Linked DNA regions of Callithrix jacchus. The protein of the gene in region 2 purifies or fractionates together with the protein of the main gene of each other region. This does not show direct contact. Links are inferred from orthologs where the notes say so. Each region holds a gene or a part of one and is shown on either strand. Other genes may lie near its edges.

What was found.
Region 1: the proteins of LMNA (region 2) and KPNA6 purify together in Homo sapiens (affinity purification with mass spectrometry; 4 studies listed by BioGRID and IntAct, with this or other methods). This does not show direct contact. The link is inferred for Callithrix jacchus from reciprocal best matches to the Homo sapiens genes LMNA and KPNA6.

The regions. Positions count from the first base shown.
Region 1 is NC_133508.1:68,747,256-68,751,652, reverse strand, and holds the start of KPNA6 (importin subunit alpha-7), read right to left. Parts: upstream 3,011-4,397; 5' UTR 3,008-3,010; coding exon 2,914-3,007; intron 1-2,913. UniProt on the Homo sapiens protein: Functions in nuclear protein import as an adapter protein for nuclear receptor KPNB1. Binds specifically and directly to substrates containing either a simple or bipartite NLS motif.
Region 2 is NC_133519.1:16,506,388-16,510,919, reverse strand, and holds the start of LMNA (lamin), read right to left. Parts: upstream 2,898-4,532; 5' UTR 2,691-2,897; coding exon 2,335-2,690; intron 1-2,334.

The DNA.
Region 1 (4,397 bases), on a different chromosome or scaffold from region 2:
TGGCCAAAATGGTGAAACCCCATCTCTACTAAAAACACAAAAAAATTAGCTGGGCACAGTGACACACACCTGTAGTCCCAGCTACTAGGAAGGCTGAGGCAGAAGAATCGCCTGAACCCAGGAGGCAGAGCTTGCAGTGAGCCAAGAGCGCACCACTGCACTCCAGCAAGAAAGTGAAAAGACATGTTCTAGAATGAGAGAAAATATTTCCAAATTACGTATCTGATTACGGTTTAACATCCAGAATAAAGAATTTCTACAATTGAACAAAAAGACAACCCAATTTAAAAATGGGTAAACAATTTGAATAGACATTTCTCTAAAAGCATATATAAATGGCCAATATGCATATGAGAAGATGTTCAACATCATTAGTCCTTAGAGAAATACAAATCAAGGTTGGGCACGGTGGCTTATGCTTGTACTCCCAGCACTTTGGGAGGTCGAGGCTGGTGAATCACTTGAGGTCAGGAGTTTGAGACCAGTCTGGCCAACATGGTGAAACCCCGTCTCTACTAAAATACAAAAGTTAGCTGGGTGTGGCGGTGACCGGCACCTGTAATCCCAGCCACTTGGGAAACTGAGGCAAGAGAATCACTTGAACTCAGGAGGTAGAGTTACAATGACTCAACCTGAGAAAGCTGATTGAAAAACATAAATAAAAAAGTTTTAGGCCAGGCACAGTGGCTCACGCCTATAATCCCAACACTTCAGGAGCCCGAGTCAGACTGATTACCTGAGGTCGGGAATTTGAGACCAGCCTGACCAACATAGAGAAACCCCCCCACTACTAAAAATACAAAATTAGCCGGGTATGGTGGTGCACACCTGTAATCCCAGCTACTCAGGCGGCTGAGGCACTTGAACCTGGGAGGCGGAGGTTGAGGTGAGCTGAGATCACGCCATTGCACCCCAGCCTGGACAACAAGAGCAAAACTCCATCTTTAAAAAAAAAAGTTTTAAAAACCACAATGAGATACTAATCCACACCTACTAGGATGGAATAAAAATAATAAAAGCACACATTGGCTAGAATCTAGAACCTGGTAGATTGCCGGTAAGAATGGAAAATGGTACAGCCACTGTGGAAAACAGAATAGTGGTTTCTAAAAAAATTAAACGTAACTACTATATAATCCAGCAATTGTACTCTTATACTATTCCTCCCTTATTCACAGTTTTGCTTTGCAAAGTGTCAGTTACCCATAGACAATTGTGGTCTGAAAATATTAAATGGAAATTTCCAGATATAAACAATTCATAAGTTTTAAATTTCATATTATTCCAAGTAGCATAATGAAATCTCACACTAACCCGCTCTATTCCAACTGGGACATGAATCATCTCTTTGTACAGTGTATCCACACTATATACACTGCCAGCTCGTAGCAGATATTGCAGGGTTTGTGTTCAAGTAATCCTTATTTTACTTAACAAAGTGTAAGAGTGATGATGCTGGCATACTGTTATAACTGTTCTCTTATTATTGTTTTTAATCTCTTGTTGGGCCTAATTTATAAATTAAACCTTGTCATAGGTATGTATGTATAGGAAATAACATAGTATATAGGGTTTGGTACCATCTGCCATTGCAGCTATCTACAGGGGATCTTGAAATATATTCCCTCTGGATAAGAAAAGGACTACTGTATATGTATACCATGAATATCATTCAGCCATAAAAAGCAATGAAGGTCTAATACATGCTACAATATGATCAAACCTTGAAATTAACATGCTAAGTGAAATAAGCAAAACACAAAAGGACAAATCTTATTTCACTTACTTGATGTCCCTAGAGTCAAACTCAGAGACAGAAAGTAGCTTAGAGGTTACCAGGTGCTGAGAGGAAAGGAAAATAGGGAGGTATTTCTTAGTGGGTAAAGAATTTCTGGGCCGGGCGCGGTGGCTCAAGCCTGTAATCCCAGCACTTTGGGAGGCCGAGGCGGGTGGATCATGAGAGATAGAGACCATCCTGATCAACATGGTGAAACCCCGTCTCTACTAAAATTACAAAAAATTAGCTGGGCATGGTGGCGCGTGCCTGTAATCCCAGCTACTCAGGAGGCTAAGGCAGGAGAATTGCCTGAACCCAGGAGGCAGAGGTTGTGGTGAGCTGAGATCGTGCCATTGCACTCCAGCCTGGGTAACAAGAGCGAAACTCCGTCTCAAAAAAAAAAAAAAAAAAAATTTCTGTTAGAGGCAGTAAAATGTTTGGAAATAGATATTGGTGATGATGGTCACATAACAGTGTAATTGTAATTAATGCCACTGAATTGTACACTCAAATGAAAAATTTTGTTACATACATTTTACCACGAAGTTTTTTTTTTTTTTTGAGACAGAGTCTTGCTCTGTCACCTAGACTAGAGTGCAGTGGTGCGACCTCAGCTCACTGTACCCTCCGCCTCCTGGATTCAAGTGATTTTCTTGAGTGAGTTTCTTGTAATCTGAGTAGCTGGGATTACAGGTGCCCACCACCATGCCCAGCTAACTTTTTTATTTTTAGTAGAGACAGGGTTTTTCCATGTTGGCCAGGTTGGAATAATCTTTTTCTTTTTTTTTTTAAACTGGCATTGTAGCCTGGGCTCAAGCCTATATTGCCAGAATTTTGGGAGGCCAAAGTGGGCAGACTGCTTGAGCCCAGGAGTTCCAGAGCAGCCTGAGCAATATGGTGAAACCCCATCTCCACAAAAAATACAAAAATTATCTTGGCATGGTGGTACACACCTGCAGTCCCAGCTAGTTGGGAGGCTGAGGCAGGAGGATTACTTGAGCCCAGGAGGTTGAGGCTATAAGTGAGCTGTGTCTGTGCCACTGCACTCCCTTTGAGGCCTGATTATCCCTGTGAGACTAACATGGTAGAGGACAGATTTCTAAAGGCAGCACTGTGAACTGCTGTCCCCTATTTACCTGACACGTGGCTTTTCATGACTGAGCCTAGGCTGTCCTGGACGCTAGCCTCTCCTTCAAGCACAGCTGACAGTGAAGCTGGAAGGAGCACCATGCTGAGCTTCTTTAGTCACCATGGTGACAAGAAACTAACACAAATATTTGCTTATGACCTCACTGGGGAAGCAGACAAGGGAGGTTAGATTGGAAGGAGGAACATCTGCAAAAGCACATCTGGAATCTCAGGGAAACAGCAGGCCAGTGGCTTTTTCCATTATGTACTCCCTTACTTGCTGTCGATGAATTTTTTAAGATCTACAATACGAATAAATCTTTTCTAGCATCTGACTGTCCTAGACTGTCTTTGGGTTCTGTCTCTGTCTCTCTCTCTCTCTCTTTTTGAGAGTCTCACTGTGTTGCCCAGGCTGGAGTGCAGTGGCATGATCTCGGCTCACCACAACCTTCGCCTCCTGGGTTCAAGTGATTCTCCGCCTCAGCCTCCCAAGTAGCTGGGATTACAGACGCCTGACAATATGCCCAGCTAATTTTTGTATTTTTAGTAGAGTCAGGATTTCACCATGTTGGTCAGGCTGGTCTCGAACTCCCAACCTCAGGTGATCCACCCACCTCAGCCTCCCAAAATGTTGGGATTACAGGCATGAGCCACTGCATCCAGTTTTCTGTGGGTTTTCTTAGACAAGGAACTCTCTCAAAGTGAATAGGTCTCTGAAGTTACACCTTCCATTTCTAGGGAATAAATGTCTAATGTTGCCATGCACTTTCTAAGCTTTCAAAACCAAAAAAACTAGCAATGATAATACAAAATAGGTATGGGCCCTAAAATGCCTGAATCATCGTCTGCTCCAAATTCATACGATGAAGTCCTAAACCCTGATACCTCAAAATGTGACTGAATTTGGAAATAGAGTCCCTAAAGAGGTAATTAAGGTAAATAAAGTTACTGGGGTAGGCCCTAATCCATAACTGGTATCCTTAAAACAAGAGAGGGAGAACACCATGTGAACATGAAGACAGCTATCTAGAAGCCAATAAATAACAAAGGTCTAAGAAACCAACTCTTCTGTAAACTTTTTTTTTTTTTGAGACAGAGTCTTGCTCTGTCACCAGGCTGGAGTGCAGTGGTGTGACCTTGGCTCACTACAACCTCTGCCTCCTGGGTTCAAGCTAGTCTCCTGCCTCATCCTCCCAAGTAGCTGGGATTATAGGCGCCCGCCACCATGCCCAGCTAATTTTTGCATTTTTAGTAGAGATGGGGTTTCACCATGTTGGTCAGGATAGTCTCGATCTTCTGACATCATGATAGGCTTGCCCTGGCCTCCCAAAGTGCTGGGATTACAGCTATGAGCCACTGTGCCTGGTCCCTTCTGACAACTTGATCTCAGACTTCTAGCCACTACAACTGTGAGAAAATACTTTTCTGTTGTTTAAACCACCCAATCTGTGGTTCTTTGTTATAGTGGCCCTAGCAAACTAATATAGGCTGT
Region 2 (4,532 bases):
AAGCTGAGCCAGGAGGATCGCTTGAGCCTAGGAGGAGTTCTAGGTTGCAGCAAGTTACAACTGCACCATTGCACTCTAGCCTGAGCAACAAGGCTCTGAAAAATACAATAAAAATAAAGAAAAGGGCCGGGCATGGTGGCTCATGCCTGTAATACAAGCACTTTGGAGGCCAAGGCCGGCACATCACCTGAGGTCGGGAGTTCAAGACCGGCCTGAACAACATGGTAAAACCCTGTCTTAAAATAAATAAATAAATAAAAGGACAGATGTGGTCTCTTTCAGCAGAAATACAGTTTGAGGCTGGGCACAGTGGCTCAAGCCCTGTAATCCCAGCACTTTGGGAGGCTGAGGCAGGAGGATTGCTTGAACCCAGGAGTTCAAGACCAGCATGGGCAACATGGCAAAACCCCATCTCTACAAAAGAGAATACAAAAGAGTTAGCTGTGGGTAGTGGTGCCTGCCCAGCTACTCAGGAGGCTGAGGTGGAAGGATGGCTTCAGCCAGGGAGGTGGAGGCTGCAGTGAGACATGCCCTTGCCGCTGCACTCCAGCCTGGGTAACAGAGTGAGATCCTGTCTAAAGAAAAACAGAAGCCAGGCACAGTGGCTCATGCCTGTAATCCTAGCACTTTGGGAGGCTGAAGTTGGCAGATTGCTTGAGGTCAGGTGTTCGAAACCCACCTGGCCAACATGGCGAAACCCCATCTCTACTAAAAATACAAAGATTAGCTGGGTGTGGTGGCAGGTGCCTCTAATCCCAGCTACTTAGGAGGCTGAGGCAGGAGCACTGCTTGAACTCAGGAGGTGGAGGTTGTAGTGAGCCAAGATCACACCACTATACTCCAGCCTGGGTAACAGAGCGAGACTCCATCTCAAAAAAAAAAAATCCAAAAAACAAAATAAAAGTTGAGCCCGTCTTCCTACACGCAACTTCCATGGATTCTTCAGAAAGAAGAGCGATGGATCTACCCACCACAACTAGCAAAGGGTAGAACGACCACAGAATGCACAGAGGGCTTCTGAGAAGAGCAGGAGTTTGGAGTAGATGATATAAAGGGAGAGAAGAAGAGTCAGAGCCAGCAGTGCTTTACGGATCTCCAAGCACCCTTGGTGCTCTTGGCCTGGGTCTGAATGGACAAAAGAAGAGCAAGAAGAAGGGAACCAAATTTTGTGGGAGGCTGGAAGAGGAGGGCCTATACTTCCAAGCTCCCAAAGGCTTTTTTAGAAAAGAAGGTGGAGTTGAGTAGGGTGGGGTAGGGTGGGGCAGGAGTGGGTGAAGTGGGAGTGGCCTGAAGCTTCCAACGGCTGGATTTCAAAAATGTCATTGTATTCCAGCACTTTAATAAGGCAAAGATCAAAACGTCAGCAGCTGAGAGAATGGGCCACAGCAAAGACTTCTTGGCCTGGCTGGGAAAATGAGAGTGGCTCACCCCAAGGAGGAAAGGACAGTGCCCCTAACCCTCGAAGACACTGGGCAGAGGGCCAAGGGAGGAGTGCGGCCAGACCTGGGCATAACACAACTTCCTGAGCTGGGAGCCTCTGCCTGAGCTGGGAGCCTCTGCCCTCTGTCTCCCTCCCTCCTTTGCATTCCTGGGCCAAGCAGGCCAAGGGCTGTGGGAGCTGCGGGGGAGCCAATCTCCCTTCTCCCTGAGCTGTTTTGGTGGGCCTGTCAGAGCCCAAGGAAGGTCCCAGACAGGCAGAGTGAGGGAGAGCTTCCCAACCCTTAGAACCCAGGGCAAGGTCATGCCGAGGGGGGCCACCGCCAAGCCTGTGGAGGGGAAAAGGGGGACTGCCCTGCCTTCCTGACCTCTCTCCAACATGCTGGACAGATGCCAGCTTGGGAGTTATGTCTTAGTGGGCATCATGTGTTCAGAGGCAGCTTGGGTAAAGCTGGCACAGTGCCAGGCCCACCAACGAAGTTCTAACAGGACCCTTTCTGCCACTCCAATGTGTCCTGGGTGCCCAAAGTTCTTGGAGCTGACAGGGATAGTTTTGTTTTGCTCAAGCCCCTCCCTTAGGCTCCGAATAGCTGGCAAATCCCACTGTGAATTCCTTATATCCCCCCACCCTCTCCCAGAGACCTCTCCCCTCTCTGTGTCACTATTCCTTATATCCTCCCACCTCTCCCAGAGACCTCTCCCCTCTCTGTCCTGTCTTGACAATTCCCCTAGACACTGGCCATCACCCGTTGGGGGCAGTTCCGGGGAGGGAGGAGACTCTCTGGCAAAGTTATCCGTCTCCAGGCCCTCTCACTCCCTTCCTGCAGCCGGCCAGGGGCGCCGGCCCGCCGCCCTTTCCACTCCCCGCCGGGCACGCAGCCACCTGGGCGAACTCACCGCGCTTTCAGCTCCTTAAACTCCTCACGCACTTTGCTCAGCTCCAGCTGCAGCCGGGCGCGCTCCTTGGCCACTGAGTCGAGGGTCTTGCGGGCATCTCCGAGCTCGGCCTCGTAGGCGGCCTTGATGCCGGACACCTCGCGGCTGACCACCTCTTCAGACTCGGTGATGCGAAGGCGCAGCCCTGCGTTCTCCGTCTCCAGCGAGCGCACACGGTCGATGTAGACCGCCAAGCGATCATTGAGCTCCTGCAGGTCCTCCTTCTCCTGCAGCCTGGTGATGCGGGTGGGCGATAGCGGAGTGGAGCTGGCCTGCGCCCCGCTGCGGGTGGCGCGCCGCTGGGACGGGGTCTCCATGGCCGGCAGGGTGGCAGCGCTGCCCGCTGGGCAGGGGTCCCGGGAAGGGCGCGGGGCTCGGGCGGAAGGACAGAGACTGCTCGGGGTCGGAGTACGCCGGCCGGCTGGCTCTCGGCTTGCTCCTGGCAGGCGTGGGGATCGGGCCGGGCACTGTCGGACCTCGGGATCTGGGTTGGCTGGGGTAGGTGCGGCGCTCCCGCGAACACTGAGTCACCGGCGCCGGGGCAAAGGCTCTAATAGGTCCTCCTTTGAAGGGAGGAGGGGCCTGCTCTTAAAGGGGAAGTCCCAGATCCACGGGGGTGGGGGCGCGGGTGTGCAGAGGAGGGGCAAGGACCGCAGGGCTGTGGCAAAGTCGGGCCCCACCCTCTCCAGCGCACTCCCAACTGCGTGAGCCTTACGCTTCCCCTCTCTCGGCTTCTGCCGGCTCAGCACCTCGGGCTCCAAGCTTGCCCCCACTGCCTCAGACCTTCTGGCTAGAGGGCAGAGCCAAGGAGGGATAGTGGGTGGGCAAAGGGTGGAAGAGAGAGGGGGAACTGGGTGCAAAGCAAGGGAGAGGGTCAGGCAGGGCTGGGAGCCAGGAAAGTGGGGGGAGGGTTGAGGCTGGTGCCCACCAGTGTGACTCACCCTTCTTCCACCACTGGCTCCCCCTGTCCTCCCAGTAGTAATAGTGAGTCACCCCTTTCCCCCTCCACACGTGGGCAGCCCATTCAGAGCTGCATCTCAGTGTGCCAGGAGTGGGGTGGAGAAGGAATGCCTGGGGACCCTGGGGGGAGCAAAGTTCTGGAACCTAAGTTCCTTTAAGTCCCCAATTTGGGGGCAGGGATCCAGGAACTTGGGGTCCCTTTTTTCCTATCTTTTGCCCCAATCTATCTCCCTTCAAAACCAAGCATTCGTTTTTAGACCCAAGCAACAAGCCGCAGTCCCCTAAAGAAGGCCAAGAATAGGAGTCAGGCACTGCCCCCTCCCATCTCCTGTCCTTTCCTTTGGACCCAAGCAGTTGGAAAAGGAGACTGCCTGGTTCCTTCCTCCTTCAGTCCCTTCCTACTGCTTACCCCACCCAGTCAACTATTTTTTCCCCCAGAGCTGTACTTATTTTAATGGATAATTTAAAACAGATACCAGAGCTGTTCGTGTATTCATTATGTTGCCAGGACATCGGGTCCCAGATTTCTGTGGTTCCCAGAGGGGCCTGAAAGGGGAAGCAGAGCTAGGAGCTGGACAGTCAATGTTGGGTCTCTATCCTGGTTTCAGCCAGAAAGAAGGTAGTGGGGGGAAGAAGGTAGTGGGGGGCAGGAACAGCAAAGACCCCACAGCCTTGCTAGCTGCAAAGTCCAGTACATCACTCATCTCTAGTTTCCATGGCCAGGTCCATTTTGTAGCTGGCTCTGGGGAGGGACTGGGCTCTCTCACAAAACGGGATCACCCAGGTCCCCAGGCTTCTCTACCTCAGGCTCTGGAGCCTCCATCCTCAGGCCTCACCAAGGACCCCTTTGATCAGCCTTCCACCATCTTGGCCCCCATCCTGGTCCCAACAGCCACCTCATCCTTTTTTTTTTTAAGACGAAGTCTTGCTCTGTCACCCAGGCTAGAGGGCAATGGCGAGATCTCGGCTCATTGCAAACTCCACCTCTCAGGTTCAAGTAATTCTCCTGCCTCAGCCTCCTGAGCAGCTGGGATTACAGGCACCTGCTACCACAACCAGCTAATTTTTTTTTTTTTTTTTTTTTTTTTTGTATTTTTAGTAGAAACGGGGTTTCATCGTGTTGGCCAGGCTGGTCTCAAACTCCTGACCCTAGGTGATCTGCCTGCCTCGGCTCCCAAAGTTCTGGAATTACAGGTGTG